2 linked regions of the Cricetulus griseus genome follow. The protein of the gene in region 1 interacts with the protein of each later gene in a pairwise test. Links are inferred from orthologs where the notes say so. Each region holds a gene or a part of one and is shown in the gene's direction. Other genes may lie near its edges. The genes, in order: Rgl2 and Rap1b.

Region 1 (4,265 bases):
AATCAGAATTTATTGCAGAGTGAAGTAGGGTACCATCAAAGTAAAGGGACCGTCGTGGAGGAAAACTCTCAAATTGTGAAAGAACAATGGCCAGGGGGACCATTGTGCAGCCTGCATTAAGGCTTGAATATTACATACCCAGAGTATTTAAACATGTAAACAATGTAAGAAATTCCAAAGCTCAGAGTGCAGCCCAGGAGTAGAGTCTGCTTGACCTCAGATGACCCAAAGGGCCTTTGAGAAGATGGCCCCTCTCTTGTAGAATACTCAACACTGTGTCTGGCAGGTGGGAAATGCCAGCACCATGAGGATGTTTCTAGATTAACCAGGAGGAACTCACTCTACGCCTAAATTCAAATTCTCCACTTCTTTCTTCTCTTGCAGAAGTCACAGTAAAGAAACTCAGATCAGTGGACGCCACTCTCAGTTTTGCCCCAAACGACTCCAGGAGCTCCTCCCCTAAACGTCATCCCTTCAAGTCGTCTTCTCCTTCCATCCAGTGGCTGGGGTTTTCTATGTCTTACTTTTGTTGTTGTTTTCTTGTTTTAGCCCTGGCTGGCTTGGGCCTCACCAAACCAACCAGGCCAGCCTCGAAGTCCCAGAGATCCGCCTGCCTCTGCCTCCCTGGAGTAACCCAAAGGCATTGGCCACTGTGCCTCGATGATTGTTAATTTTTTTGTTTAAGCATACATCTAGCATTCTTAAGATTCTAGGGCAGTGGTTCTCAAACTTTTGGGTCCTGATACATGTTAAAAATGACCAAGAAGCCCAGAGAGTTTTTGTTATGTGGGCTACAGCTATTGAAACTAAAAAAAAAAAAAAAAAAAAAAAAGCCAGACAGCCACACTCTGGAGGCAGAGGCAGGCGGATTTCTGTGTTTGAGACCAGCCTGGTCTCCAGAGTGAGTTCCAGGGCAGGCTCTGAAGCTACAGAGAAACCCTGTCTTGAAAAACTAAAAAGTATACATATATAAATATATATATTTACGATATATATATATATTTATAATATACACACTATGCAGTCGCTCAGAGCCACGGGGTTAAGAAGCGCCACTGTAAAATCTAGAGCAGCGGTTCTTAACCCGTAGGTCACGACCCCTGTAAAACCATCGGAAACATCAGATGTTATGAAACATTAGAATTCAAAACAGCAAAATTACAATTATTAAGTAGCAATGAAAGTAATTTGGTGGTTGTGCTCACTACAAAATGAGAAACTGCATTAGAGGGTCGTAGCACGAGAGGTCACAGTGTCATCGTGCTGTGCTGGGGGCTCTGGGGCGGCTCACGACGGTCCCGGAGTCCCCGTCCCCCCCCTCCCGGGGGGGCACCTGTCTGTTCGTGTGCCAATAAAGTTTCCAAGCAGGTCTCTCGTCCCGCCGTCTTTGCGAGCACAGCGAGCCTCTGGGTCGCCTCCCGGCCCCGCCTTTCCCCGGTCTCCCCGATCCCCCCATGCCGGGGCGACACCGGCACCGCAGGAACTGCGCGCGCACCGAGAGACCCGGACTCGGGGGGCGACGGACCAGAGCGGAACCCGGGCGACGGAAACGCCGCCGCGGGCGCCTCTCCGGCCGGCTTCCGGCCCCGTCCCGAGGGCGGGCGGGCCCAAGGGCGGCCCGGAAAACCCGGGGCGGACTCGCTGGGGTGCACTCGGAGCCGGGTGGGCAGTGTCGCCCGCGGGGACCGGGCCCCCCACCCGGGCGCGCTGTCGTTAGAGATTGGCAGCTCCGCGCTCGCCCTCCCGCGGGGCCTGCGTCAGGGCCCCGGTGTCCCGCGCGTCTGCGCTGCGGTGCGCGGGCTCCCGAGTCCCCGGGTCGGGTCGCGGGGACGGCGGGTTGGGCGGGGTCCGGCCCGCACTGCCCGCACTGCCCGCGGCGGCCGCCCTGGCTCCCGCCCTCACTTCCTTCCCTTCCTGGCTCCGGCCGGCCGGCGGGCGGGCGGGCGGGCGGGCGGCGGGCGGGGGAAGCGGAAAGGCGGAGGCCCGGAGAGCCCGGCGGGAGCGCAGCCCCGGGACCGCCAGCCGCTCGCTCGCCCCTCCCGAGCAGGCCAGAGCGGAGCACCCGCCGACCCCGACCCCGACCCCGGGCCGGACCTCGGCTTCCCCCCCCGACCCCGCCGCGGGGCCCCGGCCGCCCGGCCCCACCCGCCCGCCCGCCGCCCGCGTCTCCGCCGGCGCCCCCATGGCCTGAGCCCGCGCGGCTCGCCCGCCGCCCGCCCGCCCGCTCGCCCGCTCGCCCGCTGCACCCGGCCATGCTCCGCGGCCCCTGCGGCTGCTTCTGGACACGAGCCCCCCCGGGGAGTCGTGCTGAGCGGCTTCCGGAGTCGGGACCCCGAAGAGGGTGGGGACCCCGGTGGCCGGGCCGAGGGCGGGGGGCAGGAGGAGGAGGAGGAGGAGGAGGAGGACGCAGAGGTGAGGAGGACGCGCGGGTGGCGGGGTGTCCGAGGCGCTCCCCTCCCTGTCGGTCCGTGTGGCCCGGGACGGCCGCTCGCCTGCGGGGCTCGGCCGGCGCCTGCCTCCGTCTGAGCGCTGCCTCCCGTCCCCACCCACCCCACCCACCCCACCCCCGGCTTGTTTGGCGGGGAGGGGTTTGTTTCCATGGTAACCAGCGCCTCGGCCTCTAGGATTCGGGAGGGAAACCTCAGGTTTCGCCGCCCCTTCCCCCGCCCCCAGTGCGCGAGTGCGGGCAGCGAGCCTCGGGTGGCACACCTGGAGAGACGGTCCCGGCCTAGCGGGACAGCGGTCACCTCCGTCCTTAGGGACAGCCGTCGTGGCCAGCAGCAGGGCTGGGGGCCCCGCGAGGGTCTGGAAGTCAGACTCGGAGCCCAGGAGGCCCCGGACCGACTCCGGCCTGGGTCCCCGCACGGGTGAAGTTAGGTGACCCGCAAGGCTGGTTTTTCGGGATTGGTCGGGGGAGGGGCTAGGGCCACATGACTCTGAGTCTGTCGCTGCCCCACCGCCATCCTCACTTCCCCTTCTTGTGCCTGGGATCCGAGCCGCCGCCTCCAGAGGGTCCCGGTGCTGGGATCTAGTGGACGCCGCACTGGCGTTCGGGAGACTGGGGAAAGGGAGTCAGTCAGTCGGTCTATGGAGAAGACTCGCTTTGGGCTCCTCTGGTTCAGTCAGGGAGGGCGGGGCATGTGACGGCCTGTGACGGGCGTGTGAAGTTTCGGCTTCTCCCTGCTTCAGGTCTCTCCTGCCTTTGGCTTTGTGCCTCTCCTGGCGCCCTGCCTTTTCGGCCGTGTTGGGCTCAGCTGTGGGGGGAAGGGGATTTGGGCGTGAGCCTGCAGCCTCCTCTGCCCCACCGAGCTCTGAGGCGGTTGGGGGGCTGTCTGAGCCCCAGTGGGGGGTAGACCTGGGGTCACCAGCACCCTCTACCCCTCGTACTCGCTGGTATTGTCCCCTGCCATCACAGGTGAGGGGTACAAAGGGAGGAGCAGGGCCTGGGGAACAGTGGCTGGGGACCGGGGACTGAGGTGCTGTGGGCCTGACTTCCTCTTGCTTGCTCCTCCAGGCTCCTGTGTCTGTGTGGGATGAGGAGGAGGATGGTGCCACCTTTACTGTCACAAGCCGCCAGTATCGGCCTCTTGATCCCTTGGTGAGATCATGATTTTGACTTCTCACCTCTGACCCTTTCTTTGGCTTTTTTTTCTCTCTTTTTGGCCAGAACACTAGGCTGGAGGGCTGGAGTCTAGGACCCCGAGTGGTGTGATTTAAGCCATGGACCCTGTCCTTTCTGAACCTTGGCAAAAAAAAAAAAAAAAAAAAAAGAAAAAGAAAGAAAAAAAAAAAGAGCTAAGTCCGGATTATGCTGGACATGGAGCAGTGAGACTGAGGTCAGTGAGCACCCTCCGTGTTCTCCAGGCCCCCCTGCCCCCGCCTCGTTCCTCCCGGCGGCTCCGCGCTGGCACTCTGGAGGCCCTGGTCAGATACCTGTTGGATGCCCGGACGTCAGGGGTTGACGTGACTTTCACTCCAGCCTTGCTGGCCACCCACCGGGCCTTCACCTCCACGCCTGCCCTGCTTGGGCTTGTGGCTGACAGGTGAGGGACCAAGGGTTGAGGGGCCTCCTGGACTTCCTGTGAGCCCTCACAGCGCCCGGGGGTTGAAAAGGCCGCATAGGTAGACCCTCTCCTCATCCCCAGGCTGGAAGCCCTCGAGTCGCAGCCTCCTGGTGAGCTAGAGAGGACCACAGGGTGAGTGGCCCCTGACCACCTCAGTCAGTCCCCTCTGAGGAAGCTGAGGTTGGACCTCTGACCCTCGGC
Region 2 (3,807 bases), about 94 Mb from region 1:
TCCTAACTGCTTCCCAAAGGCCTTACCTCTTCAGTGAACAGAATTACGTTTCTGCCCTCTGGATACATCAGAATGGGGGTTAAATTTTAGCACATGAATCCTTTGGGACTACCCAGTCTATATCCAGGCCATAACAGCCAATTATGTTTGTATGTATCCAAAAATAAAAGAAAGATTCTGGCTGTGCAGTAGACATCAGCCAATGTTTGAAAAACCAAAATATGCCAGACACTATTCTTCCCCACAGGTACCCACACCCTAGTGAAGAAGTGTAGAAAAATGGTAAGATACAGGTGTGAATGCACACTTCCCCACAGAATGTCTGCTTTATGGTCTACTGTACCTTGAGAATAAGACTAGTGCTCAACACTTTATGATAGGTTAAAAAGTTGCTTTTAATGCTGGACTGTGGTTGCACACACCTTTAATCCCAACACTTGGGAGGTAGAGGCACCCTGGTCTACAAAGCAGGACAGACAAGACTGTACAGAGAAACCTTGTCTCAAAAAAACAAAAATAGAAAAAGTTGCCTTTAGAAACATAGTGTCCAGGGGGCTGGAGAGATAGCTCAGCAGTTAAGAGTACTGACTGTTCTTCCAGAGGTCCTGAGTTCAATTCTCAGCAACCACGTGGTGGCTCACAACCACCTTGAATGAGATCTGGTGCCTTTTGCTGGCATGCAGGCAGAAGGCTGTGTGCATAATAAATAAATGAATAAAATCTTTAAAGAAAAAAGAAACATAGTGTCTGTTCCAATTGAGCATGTGTTGTATATAAAGCTGTGGCGTCATTTTTAAAGAACTTTCTTACAATGTAATTTTCAGACGGTATCTTACTATAATCTTATCATTTGAAGAACTGTTATATAATACTACAGTATTCTTTAAGCTGTTAAGTGTGGGTTTTAAAAATGGTCTGCTTTTGTATCAAAACACATTCTTGTTTTTTAATCTTTCTACTGTAGGAACAATTTACAGCAATGAGAGATTTGTACATGAAGAATGGGCAGGGCTTTGCTTTGGTTTACTCCATCACAGCACAGTCTACATTTAATGATTTACAAGATCTGAGAGAGCAGATTCTTCGGGTTAAAGACACTGATGATGTAAGCATCATTTTCTACAATTCTGTAGATGAGAATTTGTGAGGGTCTGGTTTTCTATCCATTGTGTTAAAGTATTTATAAAAGATTTTTAAATTTCTTTTAAAAGCCTAGATTCTTGTTTTCCTTGTTTGGATTTTTTTCCACCTCCCAAAAGTACTTTAGAAGCTGATTTTTAAATGGCCCTTGGTGGTTTGGTAAAATAAGCGTTACTTTCCGTGGGCTGCTTTTTTAAAATTACAAACATGGGATATATCTAAACGTGATGCCGTTAATAAATTTTACGAAGTTGCTGTATTTCATCATGTCATACAGAAAGTGAGCGGTTCAAGCTGAGACCGTGAGAAGCTGAAGTTTCTGCTTTTGGGGCCTCCTTAATTTCTCCTTTTTGTATTTGCAATTCATTAAATGTCTCAGAAACCAGGAAAAAAAAAAAAAAAAAACAACAACAAAAAAAAAAACGTGAAGTTGATTCACACCCTTGAACATTTTAAAGTGTTGAAATCTGCTGGCTTTTCATGGCAACACCCTTTGTACTTCCTTTTTAAAAGGTTGTTTTGATCACTGTGATTAAGTCCTTTGTGGTATAATTTTTCCCTCTTTTGTAAGTGGTTTATAGCTTGATCTTTATTGTTTGTAACTGTTTGTTTTTACCCTCACCAATGTCTTTGCAGGTTCCAATGATTCTGGTTGGTAATAAATGTGACTTGGAAGATGAAAGAGTTGTAGGGAAGGAACAAGGTCAAAACCTAGCAAGACAATGGAACAACTGTGCATTCTTAGAGTCCTCTGCAAAATCAAAAATAAATGTTAATGAGGTATGTTCACATGTATTGAGAAGCTTTTTATATTGAATATAACATTTTAAATTAATGGGAAGCAGCTGGAGAGGTGGCTAAGCCTTTGAGAGATCTTACTGTTAGAGAACCCTGGTGCAGTTCCCAGCCCCTACCTGGCAACTATAACCATCTGGAACTCTTGTTTTGTTTTTCAAGACAGGGTTTCTCTGTGGCTTTGGAGGCTATCCTGGAACTCTGTAGACCAGGCTGGCCTCGAACTCAGAGATCTGCTTGCCTCTGCCTCCCGAGTGTTGGTATTAAAGGCGTACGCCACCACCGCCCAGCTAACCATCTTGTTCCTAAGACTCCAACACCCTCTTGTGACTTCTCTGGAACTCTGCATGCCTAATGAATTCATGAGGACACACACATAAAAATAATAAAAATCCTAAAGACTGTTCAATTAATGGGAAAGTACTGTACTAGAATGCCTAGTTAATAGGTGCTCTTATAGGCAGAAAACAATCTTACTGTGTGTATGCATGTAAATAAGTAACAATATTTCATCTTCTTTGTGGTGCTTATACAGTGAAATTACTGTTAAAGGAAAGTTGGGCAGAGGAGGGCCAGCGTGGGAAAACATTCATTTCATTGAGTATTTGAGGGAAAAAGCTCAAACTCAGAAAAACATGCACGGTTCTTGAAGGGGGTGAAGCCATGTAGAGTGAAGGCATACAGAAAGATCTCAAACAGTAAAGGGGCTCTCTCTCTCTTTCCTCCCCCCCCTCTCTGTAGGACAGGAGAGATCTAACTGAATTGAATAAAATTCTGCAGCTCCTTCTAACTAATAATTTATTTGCAGATCTTTTATGACCTAGTGCGGCAAATTAACAGAAAAACTCCAGTGCCTGGGAAGGCCCGCAAAAAGTCATCATGTCAGCTGCTTTAATGTCCTGGGTGCATTGTAGCTCTGAGCCAGGTATGTGACATTCCTCTTATGCCTACTTTATTCCAAAGACTGCCGTAAAAGCAAGCAAATGATGTCATGCCTTGTTGTGATAATCCTGGAAAGTAAAACTATAGATTTCATTTAGCTCTCATCAGAAGCAAGATAAATTGAGATATAACGGAAGAGAGACAGTTTTAAAACCTGTGTGTCATGGCAACTTACACTAGTGGTCCCTCTGCTCACCCCAGCAGGGCAGACACTCCAAAACAAGCCTTTGAGGAAGACATGACAGATGAGGAGCCTGGGCACAAAACAGGCACTCTGTATTTAACTCCAGAATTATGAGCAATTCCAAGCCAGAATTTCAGTAGATTGTCTAGCTTCTGAGTCCATGGTTTCTGCCGTGCTGTTATGGCACATGATCGGGGCCCCAAAGTGGTATGTTAACTGAGAGTTTAGGAAAAGTCTGCCCGAATCGGAAGCATTGAGGTGAGAGGTACAAGGAATGGAACCAGGGTCCTCTGGAAGAGCAGCCAGGGCTCAGCTCGTTATCATTAAGCTGCCTCTTCAACCTCCAATTTCTTTTTATTTTTAAAATTTGGAAAGTAATTATATCTTAGCTGTCATTAATGCAATGATTAGAACAAGAGACTTTGGCTGTTTCCTTATGTTATTTGTTGTACCATTTCAGTGTTTATTTCTTTCCCTTCCACAGGTCTGAAGAACTGTTGCCCTATTCAACAGTGCCAGCATTCCAACTTTGTTAAACCTACCAACATCTTAAACGGACTTTCCTGTGGTGGTTCCCTTAAGAGGCGGATGAAAGCTACTCTATCAGTTTGCACATTCTGATTACTGTCCAGTGTCACGAGAGATTTTTACTTATATAATAGTTCTAGAGAATGCAGCTGGTCAGACCAGAGGCTACATCCAGTATTACTGCTAAGAGACATTCTTCATCCACCAATGTTGTACAT

The links.
Region 2: the proteins of Rgl2 (region 1) and Rap1b interact in a two-hybrid assay, tested with the Homo sapiens proteins (2 studies listed by BioGRID and IntAct). The link is inferred for Cricetulus griseus from reciprocal best matches to the Homo sapiens genes RGL2 and RAP1B.

The regions. Positions count from the first base shown.
Region 1 is NW_023276806.1:232,082,761-232,087,025, reverse strand, and holds the start of Rgl2 (ral guanine nucleotide dissociation stimulator-like 2), read left to right. Parts: upstream 1-1,177; coding exon 1,178-1,183; intron 1,184-1,368; coding exon 1,369-2,412; intron 2,413-3,514; coding exon 3,515-3,598; intron 3,599-3,864; coding exon 3,865-4,043; intron 4,044-4,145; coding exon 4,146-4,196; intron 4,197-4,265. Other genes in the region: Tapbp (tapasin), read left to right, coding at 385-396. UniProt on the Homo sapiens protein: Probable guanine nucleotide exchange factor. Putative effector of Ras and/or Rap. Associates with the GTP-bound form of Rap 1A and H-Ras in vitro.
Region 2 is NW_023276806.1:138,557,815-138,561,621, forward strand, and holds part of Rap1b (ras-related protein Rap-1b), read left to right. Parts: intron 1-964; coding exon 965-1,105; intron 1,106-1,776; coding exon 1,777-1,920; intron 1,921-2,743; coding exon 2,744-2,830; 3' UTR 2,831-2,860; intron 2,861-3,545; 3' UTR 3,546-3,807. UniProt on the Homo sapiens protein: GTP-binding protein that possesses intrinsic GTPase activity. Contributes to the polarizing activity of KRIT1 and CDH5 in the establishment and maintenance of correct endothelial cell polarity and vascular lumen.